7 linked regions of the Canis lupus familiaris genome follow. The protein of the gene in region 1 interacts with the protein of each later gene in a pairwise test. Links are inferred from orthologs where the notes say so. Each region holds a gene or a part of one and is shown in the gene's direction. Other genes may lie near its edges. The genes, in order: FSD2, ESD, BRD8, SPATC1L, FMR1, CCHCR1 and CORO1A.

Region 1 (4,441 bases):
AAATATCATATGTTATTTCTCATTATTAAATAGTTTTTAAGAATTAATAAAAGGTGTATAAATAATTGTTATCAAAATAGGTACAATAAAAAATATAAAGAAAAAAGCAAAATAACTCAAAAGTTAAACTCTGCTCTCATTTTGTGTTTATTATTATATGTATTATCATATATTATTATATATTTATATATTATGCTATATATTATATATCATCTATATAATATATATATGATTATGCTGTAATTGTATTTTATACTCTCTTTTTACTTACAGCTATATTGTGGATATTTTCCACATAAAAAATAGGTATTTACATGATTGTTTTTAATACTTGCCAATATTGAGTGTATTGTGGTTTACAAATTCTATATTGATAGTCATAGATTAATTTCAGCTTTTTGCCAATATGCATAATGCTGTGGTGAACATCCTTGTACATATATATCTTTGCGTAAATTTTGTCTTTCATTTTTTTTGTTCTGATATTTTATTTTGCTTCTAATATTCTAGATACCTGGCAGTAATGATATTTTTCAAATTACATTTTGATTGAGATTTAAAAAGCAGCAGATGCAAAATTCTGAGATCAAATCACCATAAGGAGACTTTTCAAGGAAATGGTCCAGAACCCAATTCATGCTTTCAGGGGGAAAATTGGTGGAGCCATTTCTCCAGAGAATGCTGTTAGTGGGATGGAGGGAAGGTTGGAAGTCCTGTCCTCTAGGCCCAAGCCCAATGAAGGATCTTCAAAGGGACCCTTCAGAGAGTTTGCTGTATCTCCTGCAGGTGGCCTGAGGTGAGCAGATTGGCTGCTTTGATGGCAGACCCAGGGGAGGTGGCTGCATTGGTTCTGGCAGCATTCCAGAGTTTGCAGGGACCAAGGATGGGCCTGCCTCCTACAATCCAGTTGTAAGCCAGGAAGAAGACAGAGTCAGCAAGGAATCATCATATCCTGCCCAAGAGAGCCAACTGCATGGGTAAGGAGACCTCATTTGAGAGATCCTGGAGGTGGCCCACCAGAGCCTATAAGGAGAATGCAAGGGACCCCCTGGAAGAGAAGCGTTCTCAGCCTGGTTATGGAAACCTGGGGGGAAAGTCTCCATAATGGAAAACTCCAGAGATGTAAAAAACTCTCCATGAGAGAGGGAGGGAGAGTGTAGACACACACACAAGTGCACAATAGAGAGCTCTAAGCACCTGCCAGCCCAGAGAGCCGGAAGATAGCACCCATTGTGGCATTAACTCCAATAGGAGCCATCTTATCACCTTGGCGCCTCCTGCCCTGGCGTTCCACCAGCAGCTCAATAAGGAGGTGTGGGGAGAAGAGGCCGATCTCTTTCCTCCTTTCTGAGGGCAGACTTCCAGCTAAAGAGGCCCAGACCGGGTAGGGGAGAAGATTTTGATACTGGCTAAGCAAAGTCTGACTTTTACATTAATATTCTGCACTATACATTCAGTTGCTGAATGCAGACTATGCCTTCACCCTTGGACTGAATGTCACCTAAGAGGGATCAGAAAGTCATGGATCTGCTGGACTTTTTTATCCACTGAGGGAAATAATTCCCACTGTGAGTAAATGTTAAAGGAATGGTGGAAGAAAAAAATATTAAGTTGCATCTGATTGCCTTCAGAGTTGTGCTTGTTCAAAACGCTCTTGGAATAGAGCGTCAGGTGGAAGATGCACCACACAAGGGCCCTCAGATGCCCTCCCTCTCCACATGCCCTGCAGCTACCCTCCTGACCCTGCTGTGGCAGCCTCCAGCCCTCTAAACATGACCAGCCATTGGAGTAGCTCAGTGGGTCTCTAGGCCTCAAATCCTCCCAGTATATGAAGAAACTCAGAGGACAGCATGTGACCTCTCCCGGTGACACTTGAGCAGCAAGAAGTGGCAAGAGAGCCTAGGCAGGTCTATATTTGGGCTTTCACTCATGGCAGGCCTGTTGCTATTTGCAGCAGGAAGCCAGCTCATGTTACCATCACCTCTGCACCCCAGCTGCAGAGTCCTGCTGTGAGACAGTCGGAGGCAGCCCTCTGGGGCGCACAGGTAACCCAGAGGGAGATCCTCAGTTTTCCAGCCATCATCCAGAGACCTTGGAGGTAAAAGGAGACCCTGTGGACCCTTAAATAAGCAGGCAAGTTTTTGGATAATCATAGTCTTCTAATGCAAAGGGTATTTTATTAGAAACCCCGTAACTTGATGCCACAATGTTAATGCAAAATCGTTCCTTTAGGGAGAGAGGTATCATCTTAAACTGCAGAATCTTAAACTGTGAATGTCTTCTGTGCCTTCCAGTAGCATGGATTTGCCTTGCTAATACAACGTAGTGTTGGTACAGGGTGTGGAAGCCCCTAAACAGATAGAGGCTGGCCGTTCTTAAAATGTACCCATAGAGTATTTTTAGTGCGGGGGCCCATTTGCTAGAACAGTTTGGAACCCTAAATAGTGTTATCCTCTGGCTCCAGTGACCAATTGATAAATACATCTTGTTTTAATCTGTGTGGGCATCCCAAGAAATCAGAATTTCATGTTTTGATTGACATACGGGAAGACAGGACTATGATCATTTTTCACCTGTTATACATACCCCTCCTCCCATGGAAAGTTTCCAGGTTTGGACCGTGTCTGTAAAAGTTGATTTGAGCTATTTTGCGTAACTGCACAGCCAACACTTTAAAGCAAAGTTTCTTCAGCTGCAGCTTGGGAATTTCTAAGAGCTACACAGGTGAGCTTCTGAAACTATAGGCAAAATTACGTTTGTGCCCTCATGGGCTCACTTTTGGGGAGAGAATTAACACCTTTCAGTAGATTCCCAGAAACTCTCGTGCCCTATAGAAGGTTAAAAATCATTTTTGTGAGGGACTTTTCCTTTTTTCTTTCTTTTTTTTTGTGGGGGACTTTTCTAATTAATGCACTGGGGTATACCTCCCACATAGACAGCAAAAGTCTGTTTTCTTTGTAACTGCAGCCCCATGGCCTAGAGTAGAAGCTGTCTAGCTACTCTATTCTTTATAGGCTGTGACCTATTTATTTCTCTGAGGTTCAGTTTCATCACTTATGAAATGACAATTTATTGGTAATGTTCCTTCTCCCTAGATTCTGAATATTTTGGTAAGACACTAAAAGAGTCTGAGCGTTGAGGAGGAAAGTGCATGGCAGCTGTGGAGGTGTGTTGCAAACCTCCTGCTTGGGTGCCGGGTGCCCAGACCAGTTTGTTTGTCTGTCCAAAGGGGAAAGGCTGGCACAAAAGAGTTTGTTCCCATTAGATTTGTTCTCAATGTTTTCCAGTCTTCTTGCTTGTAGGACAGTTCAATTTGGTTTTTCACCCTTCAGTTTCCGGTTGAAAGAATTTGTCAGCATGATTTATTGGTAATACAGAATTCTGGTTTTCTCCCTTTTGGTGGCACACAGAAATGTGTTAGTTTTAGCAGGCTGCTCCAGGGTCTGTAGGCAATATGGTGTAGTGGAAAACTGAGTCTGGATCCATCTCTTTACCTGCTGGATTATGTGTCCAGCATACAGCACAGGGCCGGACACAGAGTAGCCCTGGGTCACCCCTTGTTAAATGAAATTGGGCCTGGCAAGTCCTTTCTCCTCACAGAAACTCAGTTTTGCCATCCTAAAATCAGAAAGTTGAATTAGATGCTCTCCAAGGGAACTTCTACCCCTAGAGGGTCTATACCTCAGCATAGGCCCCTTGGAAGCTCATGTTGTGAGGACCAGCGACCTCACAGTGGATGTTTGTGCCTGGAGATGAGGCTCTTCTACTCTGGTGCCTTCTCCCATCTTTGGTTGTTTTCAGGGGATGGAATGATCCCACAGCGGCTGCAGGGCCTCCACTCTGCCATGGCTACTGTGAGTCTTCACTTTCTGACCCCCATCCTCTCCTTTCGTGGGTGCCCTGTGGGAGAGGCCAGGGTCCACATAATGATACTAACAGCCACCCCCACATTAATAACAGCAACTGACACGTACTGAGCACTGACTTTGAGCCCTGGGCTAGGCAAAGCATTTTACACACATCATGTTATTTCATCTAAATGCTATCTTTAGGGTGCACCTGGGTGGCTCAGCGGTTGAGCACCTGCCTTCAGCTCAGGTCATCATCCCCGGGTCCTGTGATCGAGTCCTGCATCAGGCTCCCTGCAAGGAGCCTGCTTCTCTCTCTGCCTATGTCTCTGCCTCTTTCTCTGTGTTCTCATGGATAAATAAATAAAATCTTTTTTTTTTAATGCTATCTTTAGGAGGCAGGAAGCACAATAGGCCCATTTCATGGGCTCATGACAGTAAGACCCTGAGAGGTGACTTTCCCAACGCTACCACGATAAGAAGTAGCAGAGACAGAAAACAAGCACAGAGCTTTCTGAATCCAGAGGGCAGTGGCCTTAGAGAGGGGTTAAGGGTGGGGTGAGGGTGTTCCCTAGAGATTGAATTGATAGAAC
Region 2 (3,691 bases), on another chromosome or scaffold:
ATTAGAATTCTGTTTTGTTGAGGCTTATATTTTTATTATATTGGAAGAATGCAGAAAGTGATGACTTTTAGGTGCTTTGAGAGCTGACAGTGCATGTACTTTGGTGTCTGGAGTCCTTGCCACTGTGCAGAGCCTATGTGGAGTTCAAGATCTTAGGCCACAAAGGTGATAATGTTTCATATCCATATGGGGCTTAGGTTCTGAATAGAAGTGTTGGGTAAAAGACCAGCTGGTGGGGCACATGGGTGGCTCAGTCAGTTAAGCGTCCAACTTGTGATTTCAGCTCAGGTCATAGTCTCATGGGTGGTGGGATCGAGCCCTGAGTCCGGCTTCCCACTCAGCTGGGAGTTCTGCTTGGAATTCTCTCTGTCTCTCTGTTTGCTCTCCCTCTCTCTACCTCAAATAATAAATATATCTTAAAAAAGAAAGAAGAAGACAAACTGGTTGATAGGATGGGAGAGAAAAAAAAAAGGAAGGGAGAGGCAGAGGCACAGGTAACCTATAAAGGAATCTAATTATATAATTTTTCTCTCGGTGACCGTAGATTTTACCATCTTAAGTATATTGTTTTAGACTATTACTTAATTTCAGAATAAGGAAGCCACACAGAATTATGGAATCACAGAACTTTGAACTAGTTGGACTTTATAGATCTCCTTCCACTCTCTCATAAAATTAAAGCAAGTCTTAAAAAACAGGGTTTTGTCTTGATTGCGCATAGAAGTTGTGACTAGTGAATATATAAAAATAAGAGTACTTAAAGTTGGATGATAAAGTACAAACTTGTAACTGGTGGCAGCTCCTTAGATAATAAATTGGAGGAGTTGTCTATATGATTCAGATTATTTAAATTAAATCTTCCCCAAAGCTCCTAGGGGGATAGCAAACATTGGTGCTGAATAAAAGAAAAGGCTGAATGTATTTAAGTTCAGAATTAGAGCCAAAAAGAAGAGACAACAAAATAGACTATTTATTTGAAATAAATAATATCTAGAAAAAGAAAAAGGTAAGAAAGAAAGTTTCTGGAGGAATTTATAAAGAAAAAAATACCATTTTGTTTTTGTTTTTTGGAGTTGAGAGGTAATTAAAAAGCTCAGAGGTTTAAAAGAAAAGGGTCCAAACTGTGAAGAATTCTAAGATACAAAATTCTCGCCACTGGCCCAGGACTGCTGGGAAGTAGAGAAGCAGCTATAAATGGGACATCGATCTCTGAAGCCCTTACAAGTAAAAGCCAGACAAGACAATGTAAAAAAAGCATTTTTCTGATTTAATCGTCCTTAGAGCTTAAATGACGTTAAATTTCTATTTGGTTCTGCTGTGGTCTATTTTGAAGAACATCTTTCTGGGCACTTTCAAATTTATTTGTCAGTATTTGTCTTTTTCTAGGCTTATGATGCTACCCATCTTGTGAAGTCCTACCCCGGTTCTCAGCTGGACATACTAATTGATCAAGGGAAAGATGACCAGTTCCTTTCAGACGGACAATTACTACCTGATAACTTCATAGCTGCCTGTACAGAAAAGAAAGTCCCTGTTGTTTTTAGATTACAAGAGGCAAGTACTCGGAAACCTCTGCTTGTTCTAAGTAACTATAAAAAAGCAAAATTCCAGGGGCGCCTGGGTGGCTCAGTCGGTTAAGCATTCGACTCTGGATTTCAGCTCAGGTGGTGATCTCAGGGTCATGGGATGGAGCCCTGAGTCTGGCTCGTGCTTAGCTCGGAGTCTGCTTGAGATGCTCCCTCTCCCTGTGCTCCTTTCCCCGCTCGCTCCCTTGCTCTCTAAATAAATAGTCTTTAAAAAAAAAGACAAGATTCCATAATACCTTATATTTCAGAATTTGAAAAGCTACCTCTAGTAAGGTTTTTTTTTTTTTTTTTAATTATAACAAGACACTTAAAGTGAAAGCCTTCTTACTAAGGTAATGATGTCTAAGATCAAATTCCATAGAAAGAAGAAAGCTTTCAGAAGTGAGAAGTATTTGTAATTTTCTGTGTCACTGCAGAACCACTGAATAACAAGAAGCTTCATGCTTGAATAGTGCTTTATCTGCTGCATTTCTGCTGTGTCTGTCTTTGCACATACAGCTGTTTTCGCGTAAATAACAAGTATAACCTCCCACCGTAATCACTCTTCACTTTATGTATACATCTTAGCCTCAGAAGCTGTGAACTGTTTGTCTCACACAAACATAGGCACTTGATACTTTTTGAGTTAGCTGCTAGTCTAGCCATTGTGCTTTGTGGTATTTTTTTTTTTTAATTTAAAAATAATTACTCACTTTCAATTGATTTGCAGCTATTCCTTGACTAAAAGACTTGACTGTCCCCTACTCACCTAGCTCAGTGCTAATATAGTTATAATTAAAGAAACTCGGAAAACAACAACAACAACAACAACAACAACAACAAAAGAAATTCAGCTTTTTTTTTAAATTGCTTATTCATAAGCTTTGGTATGTAATTTAAACAACAAAATATTTCAGGATGAAAAGTGAACACTAAATTACAAATGATTGTGATTTTTTAAAACATTTTTATTCACATTCCAGGGTCATATGTCAGGCACGTTGATCTAAAATGTATAATAATGATGATAAATGTCCAAGTAAATGTAGATCAGTGTATAACGTGTACATTTCAGTTTACAAAAGCTTTTCACAACATTAGCTCATTTTATCCTTATGTAGTCAAATGAGTGACCATTCCTATCCTGTCCATCTGGGGGTTTTGTTTGTTTTTAAGGTTTTTCATAATTTTTTTATTGTGTAAAAATATCATATATAAAATTTACCATCTAACCCTTTTTTTTTAAAGTAAATCTTTATTTACTTGAGAGAAGGACAGATGAGGCGAAAGCATAAGCACAGGGAGGGCCAAAGGGAGAGGGGCAGAGAGGATCCTCAGACTCCCCTCTGAGCACAGAGCCCAGCAGGGTCCATCCCAGGACCTTGAGATCATGACCTGAGCAGAAATCAGCGTTGGCCGCTTACCTGAGCCACCCAGGTGCCCCTCCATCTTAACTAAACAAACACATCTGTGCTATTAAGTATGTTCATAATGTTGTTCAGCCGTCACCACCGTCCATCTTCATAACTCTTATTTTGTAAAACTGAAACTTTATACCCATAAACACTGAATTCCTCCTTACTCCCTCCAACCTTTGGCATCCATCATTCCACTTTCTCTATATATCTGACTTCTTTCAGTGTCTCCTATAAGTGGAATCATATAGTTGTTTTCATAATTTTCTTTTAGATAGAAATGCAGCTGATTTTGGGGTATTGCTTTTGTATTTTATTACTTTGGAATCTTTAGGGTTTCCTACATACAAGATCATATCTACGAACAGAGATCATTTTATCTCTGTTTTTCCAAATTGTATGCCTTCTATGTCTTTTTCTTGTGTAATTGCTCTGGCTAGGATTTCCAGTACTGTGTGGAACAGGAAGTTTCAACAGTGGGCACCTTGTCTTGTTCCTGATCGTAGAGGAAGAACTTTTGTATCTCCCCACTCAGTGTGATGTTTGCTTTGGATTTTCATATATGGCTCCTGTCCATCTGTTTTGCAGGCTTAGAAAAGTATTATGTATGTAAAGTTCATAGGACTAGTTTCCAGTAGAGTCAGCATGGTCATTTGAATGGAAACACTTACCTTCCTGACCTCTGACCATTCCCAGGCAGGGTGCAGCGGG
Region 3 (3,691 bases), on another chromosome or scaffold:
TGGTACTGCATGCTAATAACAGAGACTGTATTGTAACATAGAATCTACCGATGCTGATTTACTTGTGCACTTTTCTATGTCCTCTTCTTTTACCAGAATAAAAACATTCCTTTATATCCAGGAAAAACTCTTGGAATAGGAGTTCTGCTAAGTTCTCACTTTTTGTCCTTTTAGGATGCAAAGGCTTTATAATATAGATGTTAAATATAATTAAGTTTTTAGAATTCAAAGCCCTGTAAGAAGATTAAGAAAATAGTCCATTTATTGGATAAGAACTTAAACATTTGTAAGTTTAGGAATACATCCTTTGAGCCAGTGAAGTCGTTCCCTCGTGTTAAAAACAGAATATTAATTATTAGTTGAAGAAGATATTGAGGAATGTTTAAATCACTTTCCTACTCCAAGGACCTTTGAGACAGTTCAGTGAGTTTGCTTATGTGAGAATTCTGTTTAGGAAAAACAAGTCTAAACAGTTTTCTGGTCTTCCAGAAGTATTAAAGATTTCTAATCCTAACTCCTGTTACTGCTTTATGCAACATCTCCATATGCCCTTTATTATATAATAAGACAGTAGAGTCATTTCATGTATTTAATCTTAAAGATTTAGTAATTGTTGTCTCTTACATTCTAGCTCGTCAAGCAGTAAAAACACCCCCTCGGAGATTACCCACTGTGATGGTCCGCTCTCCTATAGATTCTGCCTCCCCAGGAGGTGATTATCCACTCGGAGACTTGACTGCAACCACTATGGAAGAGGCCACCTCTGGAGTGAGTATATTTTCATCTGTAGGAATTGATCAGCAAAGGGGCAATAAGCCAGCAGAGAGCTGAGTGATGAGGAACCCTCTTTTGGCCGAGAGGCAATTTCCTCTCTTGGTCTGAATGCTAAAGACTTTAACTTACCATGTTCTGTGCTCTAAGATAAGAATGGACCTAAAAACATTGAGCCTTTTGACCTTTTGGGAGATAGGTAAAATATTAAGGAATTGTTTGTAAGTAAACTAGTCTTAATAAAATTCCTGTAGAAATAAGGGATAGTTTTCTTGTAAATAGAATATTGGCAGTGGTTAAGCAGTTTGTGAAAGGCAGGTTGGGTGGAATTTTTGGGTCATTGTGGGTTTGAGTGGGTGGAAGAGATAAAACAGGAAGAAAGGAATGGCTGAGAGCAGGAGGTATAGAGGGTTTCTGGGCAATTTCACTCAGGACTAATAAAGTAATAGTTAGACACACTAACCCATCCAGATTAGTAGGGAACCTTCCATAGTTTGAGAAGTCAGATAAAGGTTCTCTGTTGTCTCTTAGGTAACCCCTGGGACTTTGCCGAGTACCCCAGTCACCTCGTTTCCTGGGATTCCTGACACCCTTCCTCCAGGCTCTGCACCCTTAGAAGCCCCCATGACCCCAGTAACAGATGATTCACCCCAGAAAAAGATGCTTGGACAGAAAGCAACTCCACCCCCCTCCCCTCTGCTGTCAGAGCTCTTGAAGAAGGGCAGCCTCCTGCCTACTAGCCCCAGACTGGTATGGAGACTTCTGTGGGTGTTTGAGAGCTGTGGTGATTTAGTACTTTGGAAGGGAGTGCCTGGGACCTAAAATATGACATGGAAAAAAAAAAAAAGTTCAAAAGAGAAAGAGATCTCCTAATTAAATGTTAATTAAAAAAACAAAACCAGAGACAAAAAACCAGTAAGTTGATAGTATCCTTGGGTCCTGAGTTATCTGAAACCACAATTACTTTGGTTCTCTTCTCCAGAGAACTCTTGTCAAATAAGTGTTAAAAATTAGAGCTTCCCTTGGGTCTGAAATTATTCTCTTTGGTTATTAACTTCATGAAGTTTGATCATCTGCTGGAACTTTTTTGGGAAGTGGTAGTAAAGGAAAGCTTGAGTGTAGCCTTCATCTCTGTTCTTCCCTGGTAGGTCAATGAGAGTGAAATGGCTGTGGCTTCTGGCCACTTGAACAGTACAGGTGTCCTCCTGGAGGTAGGCGGGGTTCTTCCCATGATACATGGTGGGGAAATGCAGCAGACACCCAACACTGTTGCGGCCTCCCCTGCTGCCTCAGGTAAGTCAGCATTTTTCCATTACTTACTTTACTTCACAGATGTTGATCATAGTATTGACTGTCTTTGGTTTCTAGCCTTCGAAGTAAGCAACTGTCAATTGTAGATGTGAAGCCTAACTTTTTTTGGAGCTACTTAACCTGTTAAACCACATAGTGCCTCAGATTGTAAATCTATTCTGTCTTCAAAATACTGATACCCCAGAATGACCACAGCATAGATATCAATGAGAAAAATTGTGAAGTTACTAGTGAAGCTGCTTTTCTGGGGCTTGCAAAATTATGGAAAGGTGCTAAAGACTACCTGAGGTTAAAGTACAGGAGAATTGGGATTTGGAATGTCAGGCCTGCCACATACTGATTCTGTGGCCTTGGATAGGTGATTTAACTCCTGAACATCAATGTGCTCTTTGATTAATTGCAGTATGTGTACCTCACAAGGATGTCATGATGATTAAGTGAGATAGAAAAAGTAAAGCAAAAAAAAAAAAAGTTTTATAAAATATCAAACTTTAGATATGGATATTTGAATGGTGTTGAATTTGGATGGTTTATAGCATGCTTAACTGCAGAAGCGACAGATTTGTTCATACTGGTTTTTCATGGCTTTGTTGATACTAATTAATTTTCTTCTGGGGAAAAATTACCACCCGTTTTTCACATGCATTGTGTGTCTAGTGCTTTTGGGTCATTCCTAACTTGGAAGAAGATCTTTATTAGTAAGATTGGAAAAAGAAAGGATATAGATAATGAGCTTAATTCAACAGAGGAGTTCCTTTCATTCTTTGAGACTGAAAATTTTCTTGGTTGAGTCTTAAAGTGGCGATTGCTTCTTGTTCACGTGCTTTCCTCTTACCTTATTTTGTGTACCTCTTTGTTAGGTGCTCCCACTCTTTCCCGGCTTTTAGAAGCTGGTCCTACACAGTTCACCACTCCTCTTGCTTCCTTCACTACTGTTGCCAGTGAACCTCCAGTTAAACTTGTGCCACCCCCTGTAGAGTCTGTGTCCCAGGCTACCATTGTCATGATGCCTGCGCTGCCAACACCATCCTCTGCTCCGGCTGTCTCCACTCCTGAGAGTGTAGCTCCAGGTGCGTCCCTGACCCACGCCCTGAGCAGCCACTAGGTCCAAAATTTCATCTTGAGCTTCAGTTAGAGAAAGCTGACCCAAGAGGATCGATTCCAATTCAGATGCTTCTGTTCTCCATGGACATGTACCATCTTTATCCTTAGAAAAACAAGAATGAGAAGATGTGGGTGGGCATTTACATGTTGAGGGGAAAGGACTAAGTATACATATGAATGGGCTTGAGAAAGTGTTCTCACCCTACTTTCTAGATAAAACCGGGGACAAGAGAACATATGAAGATGTAGATCTAAGAGAAACTTTTTCTGAGCTTAAGTGTGTGGGTACTTGATACCTGTCTATAGCTTTGGTTGATCTCCAGGTTGTCACTTGGTATCAAATGAAATGCTTTTCTCTTCCTGTTACTCAGTGAGTCAGCCTGACACTTGTGTCCCCATGGAGGCTGTGGGGGATCCACATACTGTGACTGTTTCCATGGATAGCAGCGAAATCTCCATGATCATCAATTCTATCAAAGAAGAGTGTTTCCGATCAGGGGTAGCA
Region 4 (4,457 bases), on another chromosome or scaffold:
AGAGCTTCAGAATATAGAAAACATAATGTAGCCGGAGAGGGAATTTGATAAATATACAATTTAATGGATTTCAACATTGTCTCAGCAAGTGTGGACAGAACGTGGAGCCAATTTGAAGTCATGGGCATTTACGGGACGCTTCACCTCCTCCTTTTCAAGAGCTTCTGGACCATTCACTGACACGCCATGCGGGGCGAGTCAAGAGCCATCCCACGGGGTTGAAGTCATCCGGTGGATTCTCTAAGCGTAATGGAATTAAATCAGAATTCAGTAACTAAGAGATAGGAAATCCCACATATTTGGAAATTAAACAATATGTGTCTAAATACCAATGGCCCAAAGGAAAGTACAGGGGAAGAAAACTCTTTGAAGCTGAAAGAAAAAACAATGAGGTAAGAGCTTGCGGGGCGGCCACGGGCTTCCGTGTTGATGCCGCAGTAAGGCCTCGAGCTGGTGGCCTAGGCGCCCACTTCCAGAACCTAGAACCCGAGTAGGAGGACGGAGATGCCGACAAAAGTCCAGCCCGGGCGGCAGGAAGCACAGTGGGAAGGTGACCCTGGAGGCTGGTGCTCCAGAGCGTCCACAAGCCCGGGGTCTGGTCGGGTGAGGCCGAGGACAGGATGCCGGGTGCCCCGCAGCCAGGTCACCCGGGGGCGACCGGGGGTCAGCCTCACCTGGGCCCTGGCCCACACACGTGCTCGTCTGCACACACCTGCACCCGCACCCCCGCCCGCACCCCTGCACCCCCGTGGCTGCCGCCCCAGTGCACCCGGCTGCCCCCCGTGGCCGCATCCACATGTCCTCGAGGCGTGAGCAGCTCGCCCAGGGGCCAGGGCCAGACAGTGGGGAGGTCGCCGCCCTGCAGGGCCCCGGGGCAGCAGGTGGGCTGGGGTCGTGGGGTCCAGGCCGCCCGTGCCCAGGACGGAGCCCCCAGTCCACGGCCCTGTGCCTGTCGGGGTCCTCGGTCAGGTCCCGTGGGTCAGGGTTCCGGACACGCAGGAGCCGAGTTCGGGGACAGCGGGGTCGGCGGTGCCCCTGCCCAGAGCGCCTGCAGGGCCGGCCCGGAGCTGCGCCGACTCCCTCTGCCCCCCCCCCCCCGCCGCCCTCCTGCCTCAAGGGTGCGTCCCCGGGGTGCACGCCTGACCTGGGCCCAGGTCCTGGGGACCCCGCTGACCCCGCGGGGGGGGACAGCCACCGGAGTCCCCGGAGGCCTGCGCACGCCGCACGACCCGGCGCCATCCTTGGCCCATAATCTCGGCAGTTCCTGGGATCCAGAACATTCCAATGTGGGCTGGCTGCCCTCTGTCCGGCCCCCGGCCCCCCGGCCCCACCCCGTGCCCTCCGCGGCCTGGGCCCCGGTGGGAGGTGTCGCTCGGGCCAGCGGCTGCAGTGGGCAGGCCCGGCGCCGCAGGGTGACTGGGGTGACGGGGGTGACGGGGTGACCAGGGTGCCGGCTCTTTAAGGGTGACATCACAAGGCTGCGGAAGGCCGGGCGGCTGTGGGGCTCCGGGGCCTGGGCTGTGCCCGAGCGTCTGCGGGCTCTGGGCTGCCACCTCCATGGGGCCGCAGGCCCGCCCGTGAGCCCCCGCGCCACGGCCATGGCCGAGGGGAGCGAGCTGATGAGCAGGCTCATGAGCGAGAACGCGGAGCTCAAGAAGCAGGTGCGCCTCATGAAGGAGAACCAGATGCTGAAGCGTCTGCTCAGCGAGAGCTGCCAGGAGCGCGGTGGCCTCGGGAGCCGGGACCTGCTGTTCCCCCGGGCGCCCACGTACCCCGAGGACTGCTCCCCCGGGAGCGCAGGTGAGCCGCGGGGGCGCTGATGCCCGAGGCCTCCCCGGGAAAGCGGGGCCGGGACCCCCTCTGCCGTGTCCTCGGCCGAGGCCTCCCTCCCGGCCCGCGGGCCCCACGGACGACATGGGGTGGCGCCGCCCTCAGGCCGCCTACTGGGTGGTCTCGGCGCCTTCCTGGCTGGGACCCCCCTGCGGCCCGGGGGTCTCAGGACAGGCCCGGGCGGGGGTGCGGGGGCTGGGGGAGGAGGCGCTGTCGCCCACGAGGTCAGCTGGACACACCCCAGCCCGCCAGCCTGAGCTCCCGCAGCGGCCACGCTCACGCCTGCCACAGGGACCGCCCGGGCCACGGGGCCTCGTGCCCTGGGACACCCCACAGCGGGTCAGGGCGCCCCCTCGGGCCCCAGGACGGCCCGGTCCCAGGAGATGGGTCCGGCGGGGGCCCCCCCAGGGCTCAGAGCCCCCCCGTGTCAGCTGTGGTCCTGGGCCCGCCCCGCCGTCCCTCCATCCTGCACCCGCGGGTCCCCAGTGACGGGCACTTGCGGGGGGACCCGGTCAGGGCGGGGTCCCTGGGACGGCGGCGCCCCCCGTGCTCACGCCCTGGGCCCCGACCCTGCAGGACAGCAGGCCCTGGCCGGGGAGGCGGGGAGGCCCTGCTGCAGGGCCGGGGCCCAGGTCAGCGGGGCGGCGGCCACCCTGGGGGGAGCTCAGCTCTGGTCAGCGCCCCCATGCCCGGGGCTCCGGACGCGCCTCAGGCCCCCCAGGCTCTGCGCCCCAAGGCCCACGGTTCCTACTGCCCCTCAGCGCCGCCCTCTAAGCAGGATGCACTTTCGAGCCCGTGTCCTTCACTGGACAGCACGCGCCGGTGGCCGAGCGCCCCCTCGCCCGAGGGCCGCACCCGCAAGGCCCCCCCCCCCGGGGCAGCCGCTGCTCACCCACCCGGTTCCTCTCCGAAGCCCGTGGACGGTACGTCCGCGCTCGTGGGGGCTGGGGGCTGGCCGGGGTCGCTCCCGCCGGTTCACACGGAGCTGTTGGAGGGGCGCCACCAGGCTGTGGCCTCTACCGCCCCCCGCGGCCCCCGCCCTCCCCCCGGACACCTTCGCGACCCCCGGGCCACACCGCGCTCCGCGGGGTCCCCAGGCTGCAGGCCACAGGGCTCGTGTGTCGTGGGCCCCCACTCATCCCGCCCTCGGGCCCAGAACCCGGAGGGGCCCTTCCGGAGCTTCTGCGGGGGGAGGGAGGCCGAGGAGCGGGCGCGGCTCAGGGCCCCCCTCGCGGGTCTGGGCTCCGGGCTCCCCGCGGGGTTTCTGCGACGATGCGACATGATCTCTTCCCATCGATCGTCAGCGGGGGCCGAGGTCTGCACAGTGCCTGCTTCTTGGACTGGACTGAGGATCGAAGATAGCGGGTGCTGTTTGTTTTTTTTGTTTTGTTTTGTTTTAATGTTCACACACCTGTGCTGGAGTCACAGGAGGGAATCGGGGCTCAGCGAATAGGAACAGAGAGCCCGAGCCGGCTGAGCCCACCGAGGCCCCGTGGGTGCAGGGGGGGCCCCCCTCGGCTCTGCCCCTCAGCTCTGGGCAGCCCGTGCTCAGGGAGTCCTGAGGCGGCGGCGGGACAGTCCCGGCTGCTCCGGCCGCTGCGGGTCGGGACGCGAGGCAAGACACCTCCAGGGGGCTGTTCTTCTTTTGAAGTTTTGTTTTTTTTTTTTCTGGGAAAACATCTCCGAAGGTCGATTAGTTGGCTCCCGAGGAGGTACATTTTAGGATATGATGTTTCTTTTTCTTTTAGGGTTTTATTTATTTAAGGAATGTCTCCATCCAGCTTTGGGCTTGAACTCACAGCCCCCAACATCGAGGGGCAGCTCCTCCCACCGAGCCAGCCGCCACCCCTGCAATTTTTCATTATAGCTCGGAAAAAACACGGTTTCTCAAGAATGTGTTTGCCTCTCTGGTGGGAGGGAGAACCAGTTCACCGTATGAGGCTAGAAAGGGGTCTTGTGAATCACAAGAAGAATCAGTACTTTGAAGGTGACCGCGGGTCATACCTTCTGCGTGACAGTCACTAACCCTAGCGCCCTGGAAGGAGGCGTTGACGAGGGGGACAGAAGGAGCTGCTTCAAGGATGTGAAACATGAATCACCCCCCACGGTCCCCCCAAAAAACCGAGTAGAGAAAAGGCAGAGATAGTCCAGAGAATGAAACCCGAGGGGGGTGAGCACAGGACACGGTCACCAGGGTCGGGGGCGGGGCGGCTGCTGAGGGGGAGCACGAGGAGGCCCGACGGCGCACACCTGGGCCCGGGGAGCGCGGGGAGCACGGCGCGGTGTCTGGACGAGGGAACCGGGACTCCTCCCCGAGGCTCAGCAGCGCAGTGGATGTGAGACTCGCCGTGTGCGTGCATGTGTGTGTGCCTGTACGTGCGTGTGCACACACGCGCCGGGAAGCGGGTAAATGTATCCGGTAAGCTACCCGATGACTCAACGGCGTGTCCCCGAGGTTCATGCTGCCACCCCGAGGTATGTGGCAGAGGGAGGCCCCCGCAGGACGGCCGCGGCCACGTAACATTTAAAAGCGTTGGCGTCCCTGTGAACGAGCGAGGACGCACGGGCGTCAGGAGGCTGAGCGGCGGCTCCCTGGGGCTCTGGGGGGCTCTCGGCCTCAGGACCCC
Region 5 (4,295 bases), on another chromosome or scaffold:
CCTGGGGCGGTTCACCCAACCTCCACCAATTCTCTCTGGTCACATTCCAGCTGGAGTCACTTCCCAGTTCTGACCACCCCTGTCCCACCCCAGACTGGGTCCTGGCCACTATCATAGGTGTATCTAATTCTTCACAGCCCTTATCGCAGTTGCAACTCCACATTTACTTTTCTGATAATTTATGTCCATCTATGCCTCTACGTTCCTAGGTGAAATGCTGGCAACTTTTCTCTTTTTATTTCTCGCTAGCACTTAGCACAGTGCCTGGCATATAGCAGAGGCTCAATAAACGCCTCCTGTATCCTACGGAGTACAGGCCTTCCAAAGGAAACCTAGGTCAACGTGGATGCAAGCTCGGTGCAGAAACAGGAATAAGAAAGAGCTGAGGTTTGTTGTACTGTGGGGGGGTAAAGAGGGAGCGCTGCACCGAAAACAGGCGCACTGGCCCCTGCAGAGAGGTCACCTGACTGCTGTACACATGCGCACACTCCACCCTCCTATTCAGGGTGGGCATACAGTAGGGGCCAAACAGTAGGAAAATAAATTGTAAAGAAATTTAACGAGTGTTTTAAGACATTTTTTTTTTTTAAGTCAAGTATGGAACTGAGCCGAGGGAAGTACACGGGTCAGTGCTGGGTCTGAGGGCGGCCTGACATTTCCAGAGGTCCTGACGCAGTCCGCTGCCCTCAGAGGGCACAGGATGTAGCCACAGGACAGCCCAAAAGCTCTTGCGGAGGGAGCGGCGTTACTCTCACCTGCTGCCTCTAAGGGTCACACAAGGCTGGGTCACCGTGGAGGCCACTGTTACTAGTTCAAAGTCGTCTTCAGTGTGATTCTTCACCTGTAGTCTTGTCCCCTCCTCCACCCCCAGCTCAATGAGCCTCTGCCCCACTTAAACGAACCCTCCAACCCAAGGCAGCCCAGACTCGGATACGTGCATACACGTGACGCTACGCGAGCACCGTTCCCACGCCTCTGCTTGACCTTCTACAGGCAAAGGCGCTCTGGCCCTCGCCGGGCGACGCCAAGCGACGCCAAGCGCCGCCGCCTCGGCCAGCGGCGCAACCTGTCACCGCCCTTCCCGCCTTCCCGCCCTCCACCGAGCCCGCGCACGCCGAGCCCGCGCGCCTTACGTTGGGCCCGGCCCCCAGCCGGTGCCTCAGCTGCACGCATGCGCGCGCTCCTGGGCCCGCGGGGAGAAAGAGGGCGGGACCGTGGGGCCAAGCCCGCGGGGGGAGGGGCGGTGTCGGTCACGTGACGCGGTTTCACTGTTTACACGCGGAGCGGTCGGAGCTTTCGGCCTCAGTCAGGCGCTCGGCACCGTTTCGGTTTCACTTCCGGTGAGGGGCCGCCTCGGAGCGGGCGGTGAGCCGACGGCGAGCGCGGGTGGCGGCGGTGACGGCGGCGCCGCTGCCGGGGGGCGTGCGAGAGCGCGGCGGCGGCGGCGGCGGCGGCGGCGGCGGCGGCGGCTGGGCCTCCTGCGCCCGCAGCCCACCTCTCGGGGGCGGGCTCCCGGCGCGAGCAGGGCTTTCGAGAAGATGGAGGAGCTGGTGGTGGAAGTGCGGGGCTCCAATGGCGCTTTCTACAAGGTACTTGGCTCCAGGGCAGGCCCCATCTTCGCCCTCCTTTCCCTCCCTTTTCTTCTCGGCCTCGGCGGGAGGCAGGCCTGGGGCCCTCTTCCCGAGCGCCGCTCCCGGGGGCCAGGGAGCACTCGTTGGGATGTTGTTTGGGAGAGAAGGACTGGACTTCGGGCCTGTAGGAAGCCCCTCGAGCCCCGCTGCCTCTCCTGCGAGAGGCCCCGGTGCCTGTGGGAATGAGAGCGGGCAAGGAGAGGAAGGTGTCCTCTCGGGAGCCGACGGAGAGCCGGGGATGGCCAAGGGCCGGCAGCAGGTACAGGATCCTGGCGGGAAGGGCCGGTATCCGCGCGAACTGCCGGCGACGGCTGATTTCCCTTTCCTAAATATCCTCTCCCAGTGGGATCCGGGCCTGACGTGTGGGTAGTTGCTGAGTAGCGGGGGGCGCTTCCGTCGAGCCGCCTCCTGCCTTGCAAAGAGGTTTTGAGATCTCCTTTGGCTTCTCTTTTCCGGTCCAGCATTGGGACTTCGGAGAGCTCCACTGTTCAGGGCAAGGGGTGTGGAGAAAGAGTAGTAAGAAGCTGTAGTCCGTACCGACTCACAATGGCAACTGATTTTTGGTGGCCTCTCTTTGTGGATTTCAGAAGAGATTGTAGATCCAAAAGTTTCAGGAAGACCCTGACATAACCGAGTAATGCATTAGAGAAGCTCGTAATCTTAAATATTCGCGTTCCCTCTCCCTTGTTATAAATGCGGCCAAATCCAGGAATTCAGATGCTTCAGCATCTAAAAGCATTATAGCAACTCTGCTGCTTAAGGAAAAAAATTTTTAACCCTCCAAAGGCCTTGAATGTATGCCACGAAACTTCAGGCAATTAACTGAGAGTGCATTATTACTAGAGAATTTTAAATCGTGAGTAGAGATAATTGTGTTGTGCTCCAAGTACTTGACTGTCTTCTCTGAATGTGTAATGTTGCAGTCGACGGTATTCAGGTTTTAAATAGACATGCATAGTATTACTGTGGATTTTTCTTTTTTTACGTTACACCACTGCAGATCAACTAATAGCTTAGATTTTCAAAAGGAGGTTTAGAAATATGTTGATGTATCGGTTGTGCATCTGTTGATACATACTTAGTCTAGATCTCATAATTTATAGACTCTTGTTTTCTCTTGAATGTTTCTCTGTAACTTCTGTAGGTAATATCCCACCTTAGTACAGTATTTTGGCAGTAAAAGGTACATATGGGAAGAAGCATGGAAATTAGCTATTGTTGTCCAACACAATTCTTAAATTTATTATGGCATGACTTACACGTTTCAAACCAGACCTGTTTGCAATGGGAAAATTAACAATTGACTTCATGTTTACCAGTTCTGTGGAGATATTTGGAGATCAGCATATTTCATAAGTGGGTAAACTATGTAAACTGTTCATACTTTGAGCCAAAAGATAAAACCTGTAGCTGTAAAAGGAAGAAACCCAGCGTTTATGTTAACATTCTCACCAATATAAAATTGTCTCAGTTGACTCCACAGTCAAAATTTTGGTTGTATTTATTTCAGTGGTCCATAGTGATTCCTGCTAGTTAGTGTGGAATCATCTGGTTCCTAGATTGGTAGTTTTGCTCACTAGATTTGTGGTACTAGCTATAATAAATATAAGTAGGGGTTAATGATTGAGCAGTATTCTAATAGGCCTGTACTATTTGGTAAGATTGGACACCACTGTTAACGTCTTCCAGTGAAGTTTGCCTGCTACAGGAGGGGCTACTAAGTAGCACATCGTGGTGTTGAAGGACATATTGTTCTCTTCCAGCAGCAACGAATGATTTGCTCTGGTGATTTTTCTTGCAAAGTGATTGGAATATAATAAGAATCCTATATCTTTCCTATTAATCCCCCATTTTAATTGTCTTTAACAAATTTGCTTAATTTGAAGATGAATAACAAAAATGGATAGTCCCTTAGTTCCTTGAGGAGAAATGTGAAACTTGGTCAAATATGTGTAGAGAAATTGCTATTACATTTACTTAAAGTTTATTTTTCAGAAAACTTCGAATGGTCTGTATTGGTAGAAAAAGGTTCAAGTTTTTATAGGACTCATTGTTCTGAGTTACAAAAGTAAAGCAAAAAGTTAACCGAGTTGCTTATCCAGTGGGATGGGCAAAAAATATGGGAAATGAAGACCAATAAAAAATGAACTACTGTGGAGAAATGTTAGATTCATGAAAAAATAGGGACCTGTTCATCAAATTGATAGAAAAGCCTTTAAAAAACTGAACAACTCAGATGACTTCAGTATTAGTGAATTCGACTTTGATTTGCCTAACAGAACCACCATATTGCAAGGAATGATTCCCCATCTTCTGAGCACATGGTCCAAGTTTACAGTATAAACTGGATAAAGTATACTTGGGCATATGTGGATTCTTTCTTTGCAAAATAACTAAAGCTCAGGATTCAGAATTAACAGAACCATAAAACCTAAACCCTAAGATTGGACAGCTCATTTTTATTTTTCCTTCTGTTTATTCTTAAACACTTGAAAGTTAGATTTAGTAGTTGTCAGAGCCACTACTTTTGTGCTTAGGTATTACTTTGACTTAGAAAGTTAGTCTGTACACCTTAACCTCTTCTGTTACTTAAGACATGAAGTCCCTTGGATAAACCTCACAAAATCTTTACGAAGTGTTTCCTAAATGCATAATGTTGAAATA
Region 6 (3,438 bases), on another chromosome or scaffold:
GCCATCTCTTCCCAGGGGAGGCGGAGCGGCAGCAGCTGAGTGAGGTCGCCCAGCAGCTAGAGCAGGAGCTGCAACGCACCCAGGAGTCCCTGGCTAGTGTGGGGCTGCAGCTGGAGGCTGCTCGCCAGGGCCAGCAGGAGAGCACAGAGGAGGCTGCCAATCTCCGGCAGGAACTGACCCAGCAGCAGGAGCTCTATGGGCAAGGTGTGCAGGATGCGGAGTCTGTTTACCACGGAGGGCTGTGAGGAACGGAGAAGCAAAGCTTCCTCTGACACATCCCATCTGCACCCCCGCCCCCCCCCCCCCCCCCCCCCCAGCTCTGCAAGAGAAGGTGGCTGAAGTGGAAACCAGGCTGCGGGAACAGCTCTTAGAAACAGAGAGGAGACTGAATGAGGCTCGGAGGGAGCATGGCAAGGCAGGTGAGATTTGCTTGGGTGGCTGTGGTCGTCCGGGGAGAAGGCAGTGTTGGACATAAGGGTTTTTTGTTTTGTTTTTTTAAGATTTATTTATTTGTTCATGAGAGACAGGCAGAGAGAGAAGCAGGCTCCCCACTGGGAGCCTGATGTGGGACTCAATTCCGGATCCTGGGATCACGCCCTGAGCCAAAGGCAGGTGCCCAACTGCTGAGTCACCCAGGTGTCCAAGGATCTTAAAGCTGTTTTTGAAGTATGCAAATAATGAAGTTACCAAGAAATGGCACAAATACATTCTGAGGCGGTGAACACACTCCTTCAGCCAGCACACATAGGAGCACCAGCAGGTGGCCAGCCCTAGTGCCCCCTGAGCCCTGCCCAGCCACCCCCCTCCACAAGGCCACGGCCATCCCAACCTCACACCAACCATTACCCCCAACTTTTTTCTTTTTCTTTTTCTTTTTCTTTTTCTTTTTTCTTTTTTCTTTTTTCTTTTTTCTTTTTCTTTCTTTTTTTTTTTTTGCCTTAAAGCAATAGAAAATTGTTCTCTTACAGTACTGGAAGCTAGAAGTCTGAAGTCAAGATGCTGGCCAGGGTTGGTGCCTACTAGAGGTTCTGAGAGTCTATTTTATGATTCTCTCCTGCATTCTCATGGTTGCTGGCAATCAGTGGCATCCCTGGTTTGTTGGCACATCATTCTTTTGTGTGTCCATCTTTACATGATGTTCTGTGCTGCACGTGTCCGTCTCCCAACTTTTTTTTTAAAAGATTTTGTTTTTGAGTAATCTTTACAACCAGCATGGGGTTCAAACTTACCTAAGATCAAGAATCATGTACTCTACCGACTGACCCAGCCAGAGGCTTCCCCTCAATGTCATAGTAGGGAAAAGTTCAAATACCTAGCCAAATTACAAGACTCATGCAGTGCCCACTTGTGTACTTCCTCTAACTAGATGCAACAGCTATTCATCTATTTTTTGTTAAAGATTTTTTTTAAAGATTTTATTTATTTATGAGGGACATAGAGAAGCAGAGACACAGGCAGAGGGAGAAGCAGGCTTCCTGCAGGGAGCCGGATATGGGACTTGATCCTGGGACCCCAGGATCATGCCCTGAGCCAAAGGCAGGCACTCAACAGCTGAGCCACCCAGGCGTCCCTAACCTCAGTGTCATTGGCACACATTAAGAAGACATTGATTGCACCAAATTGAATATTCAGTACACATTCAGATTCTCCCTAAATGAGTCCAGGAAGGTTCAGGGATGGGGTTGTGGAGCATCAGCCACTGTGCCCAGCATGCAGAAGACATAGCCCCCCAGTGTTCTGCCCACAATTCCAGCTGTTCTCATGGTGCCTCACTACCTCTGGGTTGCCCCACACCTGTGCCCTCTGTACCCTGGCTTCCACTAGTGGTCTCCCTGCGCCAGATGCAGCGCAAAGCCACCTGGGAGAAGGAGCGGAACCAGGAGCTCAGGCGCCTGCAAGATGAGGCCCGGAAGGAGGAGGGGCTGCGGCTGACCCAGCGCCTGCAGGAGCTAGAGAGGGACAAGAACGTTATGCTGGTAGGGGGTCAGAGACTGGGCCCTGGAGCTGCCTGGGGAGTAGAGGCCTCATTGGGGAGGGGTGGCTCTGCCCGGGCTAGGTGGCATTTGACCCTCTCCTTCCCAGGCCACCTTGCAGCAGGAGGGTCTCCTCTCCCGTTACAAGCAGCAGCGACTATTGGCAGTTCTTCCTTCCCTCCTGGATAAGGGAAAGTCTGTGGAGTCCAGCCCCAGGGACCCAGGGTCTTCAGCAGCTGTGCCTCTGGCAGCACCCACCACCAGGGAGTCCATAAAAGGTAATGGTCTAGGTAGGAAGGGATGGATGGATGTACAGGACTTAAGGAATCTCTCCTCCAGGTGCTCTTAATGGTGTGAGCATTTTTCTCCATGACCTTTGGAGGCCCACAGCCCCTCATCCATGCCCACCTTGGGCCAGAGAACACCCTCCCTCATAACCCTCCCATCTGATGGCAGTCCTGTTCTCTGCAACCGGAGCTGCAACAGCCTTGTCTGTCTGGCTGCTATCCCTGGGGGTCTTCTTTCCTAGGATCCCTCTCTGTCCTGCTCAGTGATCTGCAGGGCCTGAGTGAGGCCATTTCCAAAGAGGAAGCTATTTCTCAAGGAGGCAACCCGAACTGTCCTGCTCCAGTGTGTGGCTGAACAGCTGGGGACTCTGCCTCTGGGGGCTCAGGGTGAACAGCTGGGGACTCTGCCTCTGGGGGCTCAGGGTGGGGGGCCGGCCAGCTGCCCTCGTGGATACCAGCCACCAGGATGTCTGAATGCTGTGGCTCAATAAAGGTGATTACAGTGTGCCATGTTTTCTCTGGGACTGAGAGGGAATTCCCCTGCAGCCATCTCCATCCACCCGGAAAATGCGAGAGGTGGTCCCCAGCTGTTTTCTCTAGGTAGTGCCTTTCTCAAAACCCCTTCCCCAGGCTGCTTGAGAAGTTTCTGGCAAGCCCCAGGTTTTCTTTTTCTCAACTTTTGTTTTAAAACTCTACTTCTGGAAGAAGACCACTGCCCAGAGTGAGGAATATAAAACATCGCTCATTTGCTCAGAGTCAGGCAGTGTCCTCGCTCAGGGGCCATAGTGGTGGGCTTGCTGAGTGGGTCCCTGCTGCCGAGGCACTGCTGTCCTGGTGGTAGAGACAGATGATGGACAGGTACCTAAGTGAACGGACGGGCGTCCTTGGGAAGAGAAAAGACATACAAGGTGATAGAACCTGACCAGGGAGGGGCCGCCCGATGCTGCCTCCCTGAGGAGGGGCTGTGTGGAGGACCTGCCTGAGGTGGGGAAGCAAGCAGCGGCGTTGGCTGGAGTCCTGCAGATGGCAGGCTAGCATGGAGGGGGACCTGGTGGGGTGCGGGTTTTATTCCAGGTCAGTAAAAAGCCCTTGGAGTACTTGTAGCAGGGATGCAACCACATGATTAGGCTGACTTCTTTTTTTTTAAAGATTTTATTTATGAGAGAGAGAGAGGCAGA
Region 7 (4,154 bases), on another chromosome or scaffold:
CTAGATGGTGACCAGATGGTCACTACTAGTGCCAGTCTTATAGCCAATCTTATAGCCGGTCTTATAGCTTTTTCTTGCAGCTTCAACCAGTCTGCTTCTGATTACATAGCCTTGAATCAAGTGCCCATCCTTAAACCAATCAAAAAAGATTGCTTGACTGGGGAACTGTGGCCCTGTGCCCACCCTGGACCCCCTCTTGAACTTCAGGGACTGCCAGTGAGGAAAGGTTGGTCCCCCAAAGGAAAATCCAGAGGTGGCCGTCAGTAAAGAGGGTTTGGTAAGATGGTGGGCCAGCAACACCCAACAGATACACTGTCCCAGCGCCCCTCATACGGAGCTGTCAGCCCAAATACCCAGTGATCATGGGGAGAGCCAACATTTATTAAGCACTTGCTACACCCAAGAGGAGGTGCATAAAGCTTTGCTTCCCCCTATAACCTCTCGAGTTAGGTAGGACTCTTACAGAGGGAGAAACTGAGGCTGAGGGAGGTTAAGTATCCTGCCCTGGTCACTCAGTAGTGTGACAACCAGGAGCCAAACTCAGCAAGCATCCTGATTCTGGAGTATGCCTCTCTTGCCCTCTGCATTGCCACCTCCCTGACGCCTTCTCCAAATCCAAGGGCGACGATGGATTCCTCCTTCCTCTTGAGTGTGCAGTCTGGCTTCTACTCTGCTTGGCATCCCTGGAGCCCTCCTCTCCTCTCCCTCTGGGAGGCTGAGAGCCCTCTGGGGGCAGGAACCTGACCCTGACTCATTGACCTCTGCCGCTCCTGCAGGAAGAAGCCTCCAGAATGCCAGAGTAATTCATTTGTTCCCTGTGAGGTAGGCGAGGCAGAGGTGCTCCAGGGTGAAGACCTGAGATGGCAGAGAAGTGACTCTCCCGAGGCCACGGTTTGTAAACGGAGGAGCCTAGACGAGACCCCAGGGCTCCCCTCCTCTCGGTTCCTCGTCTGGGAGTGGTGGGGGGGGGGCGAGGAAGGCAGCTCAGCCTTAGCTGGGGGTGGGCGTGGGGGCCTGATGGGCGCTTCTGCGAACGCCAGGGACAGGATGGTGAGTGGGCTGGGGACGGACTGAAGGAGGGAAGAAGGAACAGGGTATTTTTGCATTTTGACATTACAAAAGTGCCGATTAGATTGTCAGCGAGTGGCCGGCAGCATCTGTTTGGGTTGGGAGTTGGCAGGCGCGGCGGAGCGCGGCGGAGGGCGGGGCGGCCGCGGGCTGGGGGGCGGGGAGCCCTTCAGGAGCTCCGCCCAAAGGGGCGCTGCCACCCCTAAGGAGGCGGGCAGCGGCGCTTCTCATTCATTGTCTTGACAAGAGCATCCTCAGCGGGCAGCCTCTGGCTCCGCCAGCGCCTTCCTCCTCCTCTTCCTCCTCCTCCTCTCCCTCCTCTATCCGGGGGGTCCCTCCTCTCTCAGCGGCAGGTAAGCCCGGGTCCCCGGGCGAGGCGCCGGGCATCGCTGCCCTGGGCCACCTGTGGGGCAGGCGTGAGCCGGGCGGGAGGCGGCCGCGGGGGCGGCGGGGCTGTCAGCGCGCGGCGGGGACCGGGGACGGGGCCGTGCGCGCCGCGCGTGCAGGGGGCTCGCCGGGGGGCAGGGGGTGCGCGGGAGGGTCCGTCTGCGCGTCCGGGGCGCCGTGAGCAGGCGGGGTGAGGGACCACCGCAGCCAAGATGGAGGTGGGGGGCGGGGGGCTGGCTCGCGCCGGAACGGGCGGCGGGGGCGGGGGGGCAGGGTGGGGTGAGCCGAGCGGCTGCCCTGAGCTCCGAGACAGGAAGGGGTTGAGAGCAAAACAAGAAAAGACCAAGTTCCCCTTTCCGCGGTTTCTGGGCCTGGTACCTGCAGTGGGGGAGGAGGCGGGTGGGGCGATGGCTTCCTGTTCCCCAGCCTTGGCTTCGGGGCTACCCTCGCTCCAGGCCCAGGGTCTGACCCGGGACTGATCCCTCTGGCCCCGGACTGCTTCTCCTCACACGTGCTCCTCACCTGCTGTCTGGGCAGGTGGGCCCGGAGCCTCCCGGAGCCGACCAGGGCCGACCAGGGCCGACCAGGGCAGCGGGGTGCCCCGCGAGAAGGGCCAGGGCCAAAGGCAGTCTAAGGGGTGAAACCGAGGAGGGGGTAGAGGCCTGGCGCCCACGCTGAGCAGGGAGGTGATGCAGTTGGGCTTCAGGATGGAGCCTGGAGCCTGGGGAGCCAGAGGCAACACCATCCTCTTCAGTCGCTCTCTGACCAGCCAGGTGGGAGAAGCCCCGCTGGACCTCAGGGAAATCAGTGCCACCTCTCCCTGTGCATAGTTCCAGAGCAGGTGGAAATGGCACTTAGGGGCACCTGCTCAGGCAGACTCGAGAGGCAGAGGTGTGGGGAGGAGAGAGTGGGACCCAGGCCATTTGCCTGTTTCTGGTGCCCAGACACCTGCTGGGGAGGCCACCCTGCCTCTGATGACCTGCCTCCTGGGCAGGTCAACGTGCTGCTTCCCCCTGGATGCCTAGCCCCGTGCCAGGAGGTGAGGGAGGCCAGCCCTGCCCCTGCCTTCAGGAAGCTCTCTGTGTGGGTGTGAGCAATGTGAGCTGTGGCTGCTGTGATGGAGTGAAGCTACCCTCCAGGCTGTGCCCCCAGAGGGTGGGAGGGTGAGCCATGGAGAGAAAGGGCTGTGTCTGGCAGCAGCCGACAGATGGGCTCTTGGTGCTACTGCCCCCACCCCACCCCCAGGCTCTGGAATAGAGGCTGAGGGTACAGACCAGAGGCCTGGGTGGGCAGAAAAGGTAGGCCTTGCAGGTTTGCCAGGAGTGACAAGGGGTGAGGAAGGTGAGCATGAGGGCAACAGGATGGTAGTTACAGAGGACGGAGCAGGGAGCCCAGGAAGATGCTGGGGAAGTTAGCTGAGACCCTAAACACCAGCTGAGGGGTGTCCTGGGGGGACATGGGGAACACTCTAAGGTCAGAGTCAACCTGAAGGGAGAAAGGCCCTCAAGCCCACGTGCCCCTACCCCCCAGGATGAGCCGGCAGGTGGTCCGCTCCAGCAAGTTCCGCCATGTGTTTGGACAACCAGCCAAGGCTGACCAGTGCTATGAGGATGTGCGTGTCTCACAGACCACCTGGGACAGTGGCTTCTGTGCTGTCAACCCCAAGTTCATGGCCCTGATCTGCGAGGCCAGTGGCGGAGGGGCCTTCCTGGTGCTGCCCCTGGGCAAGGTGAGCCCCTGGAGTCCTTGGGGCAGTAGTCTTCCACTTGAAGGGGCCTCTGATCCTGATTAGGTGACTGTCACCAGGCCTTCTGGGGCTGCAGCATTGTCATATGTAAAACTGAGCTGGGCCACATGAGCCTTAAGCCTCCTCCAGCTCCAACATGCAGTGGTCGCATGGAAACTGAAGCTCAGGTGACACCAGAAAGGTCATATAGCGAGTCCTGCAGACCCAGGGCCAGGTGTCCCAAGTCTTAGCCCAGGGACTTCTCCCCTCTGGAGCACAGCCTGGGCTCCATGGGGTCTGGGCAGACCCAGTGGTGCTCACGGGGTGGGAGGGGCTTGGGGCCAGGCCAGTCTGAGCCCCCATCACCCTCCAGAGCTCCAGCCAGTTCTGGCCCCGGGCTACAAGCAGGGAGGACATGAAAGGCCCTCTCCCCTCCCCCAAACCTGCCTTCCCTCTGCTTCTGCTGCTCACAACCCCCCTTCCGCTCTGTTGACCCCCACCCCCAGCACACTCCTTTGCCTTGAGGGGTGAGACAGGAAGGGGACATGGGCCCTAAGTTGTTACCTTAAAAGGGCTGATGAAAGCCAAGAGAAGAGGAAGTGGTTGTGGGGCGAGAGCTGGGTGAGCTCTTCACACAGGAAGCCCTGTGGCGGCAGCTGTCCCCGGAAGCAGCCATTTCCAAACCTTTGCTCCTGCTTGGGGCCAGTTATGACAGACTTCCCCAGTCCCTATCCTATTGGAAGGACCCATCCCCATTCCCACACTTCCTGGGGAATCCTACCCTTAATACAACCTCCCCTGCCCAGGGCCCTGGCCTATCATCCCCTGGGAAGCCTGGTTCAAGGAAGCTGGGGTGGGAGTGCCAGCCCTCAGGGCATCGGCAAGAAAGTGGGGGTAGAGATGTCAGGAGTTGGCCAGTAAGGCAGGACTGGGGCCCAGTGTGTCCCTGTTACCCAGCCCTGCACTCCTGTTG

The links.
Region 2: the proteins of FSD2 (region 1) and ESD interact in binary tests that used the Homo sapiens proteins (3 or more experiments, as listed by UniProt). The two-hybrid records come from large-scale screens. The link is inferred for Canis lupus familiaris from reciprocal best matches to the Homo sapiens genes FSD2 and ESD.
Region 3: the proteins of FSD2 (region 1) and BRD8 interact in binary tests that used the Homo sapiens proteins (3 or more experiments, as listed by UniProt). The two-hybrid records come from large-scale screens. The link is inferred for Canis lupus familiaris from reciprocal best matches to the Homo sapiens genes FSD2 and BRD8.
Region 4: the proteins of FSD2 (region 1) and SPATC1L interact in binary tests that used the Homo sapiens proteins (3 or more experiments, as listed by UniProt). The two-hybrid records come from large-scale screens. The link is inferred for Canis lupus familiaris from reciprocal best matches to the Homo sapiens genes FSD2 and SPATC1L.
Region 5: the proteins of FSD2 (region 1) and FMR1 interact in binary tests that used the Homo sapiens proteins (3 or more experiments, as listed by UniProt). The link is inferred for Canis lupus familiaris from reciprocal best matches to the Homo sapiens genes FSD2 and FMR1.
Region 6: the proteins of FSD2 (region 1) and CCHCR1 interact in binary tests that used the Homo sapiens proteins (3 or more experiments, as listed by UniProt). The link is inferred for Canis lupus familiaris from reciprocal best matches to the Homo sapiens genes FSD2 and CCHCR1.
Region 7: the proteins of FSD2 (region 1) and CORO1A interact in binary tests that used the Homo sapiens proteins (3 or more experiments, as listed by UniProt). The two-hybrid records come from large-scale screens. The link is inferred for Canis lupus familiaris from reciprocal best matches to the Homo sapiens genes FSD2 and CORO1A.

What each region holds. Positions count from the first base shown.
Region 1 is NC_049224.1:55,110,200-55,114,640, reverse strand, and holds the start of FSD2 (fibronectin type III and SPRY domain-containing protein 2), read left to right. Parts: upstream 1-1,612; 5' UTR 1,613-2,098; exon of another isoform or gene 2,099-2,133; intron 2,134-4,441.
Region 2 is NC_049243.1:4,524,816-4,528,506, forward strand, and holds part of ESD (S-formylglutathione hydrolase), read left to right. Parts: intron 1-1,386; coding exon 1,387-1,554; intron 1,555-3,651; exon of another isoform or gene 3,652-3,691.
Region 3 is NC_049232.1:25,859,488-25,863,178, reverse strand, and holds part of BRD8 (bromodomain-containing protein 8), read left to right. Parts: intron 1-631; coding exon 632-768; intron 769-1,302; coding exon 1,303-1,521; intron 1,522-1,919; coding exon 1,920-2,064; intron 2,065-2,942; coding exon 2,943-3,152; intron 3,153-3,557; coding exon 3,558-3,691. UniProt on the Homo sapiens protein: May act as a coactivator during transcriptional activation by hormone-activated nuclear receptors (NR). Isoform 2 stimulates transcriptional activation by AR/DHTR, ESR1/NR3A1, RXRA/NR2B1 and THRB/ERBA2.
Region 4 is NC_049252.1:39,453,732-39,458,188, reverse strand, and holds the start of SPATC1L (speriolin-like protein), read left to right. Parts: upstream 1-1,474; 5' UTR 1,475-1,598; coding exon 1,599-1,800; intron 1,801-4,457.
Region 5 is NC_049260.1:117,357,594-117,361,888, forward strand, and holds the start of FMR1 (synaptic functional regulator FMR1), read left to right. Parts: upstream 1-1,456; 5' UTR 1,457-1,538; coding exon 1,539-1,589; intron 1,590-4,295.
Region 6 is NC_049233.1:980,852-984,289, reverse strand, and holds the end of CCHCR1 (coiled-coil alpha-helical rod protein 1), read left to right. Parts: intron 1-15; coding exon 16-204; intron 205-317; coding exon 318-419; intron 420-425; exon of another isoform or gene 426-760; intron 761-968; exon of another isoform or gene 969-1,173; intron 1,174-1,824; coding exon 1,825-1,976; intron 1,977-2,082; coding exon 2,083-2,251; intron 2,252-2,502; coding exon 2,503-2,615; 3' UTR 2,616-2,767; downstream 2,768-3,438. UniProt on the Homo sapiens protein: May be a regulator of keratinocyte proliferation or differentiation.
Region 7 is NC_049227.1:18,327,109-18,331,262, forward strand, and holds the start of CORO1A (coronin-1A), read left to right. Parts: upstream 1-1,262; 5' UTR 1,263-1,421; intron 1,422-2,985; 5' UTR 2,986-2,986; coding exon 2,987-3,184; intron 3,185-4,154. UniProt on the Homo sapiens protein: May be a crucial component of the cytoskeleton of highly motile cells, functioning both in the invagination of large pieces of plasma membrane, as well as in forming protrusions of the plasma membrane involved in cell locomotion.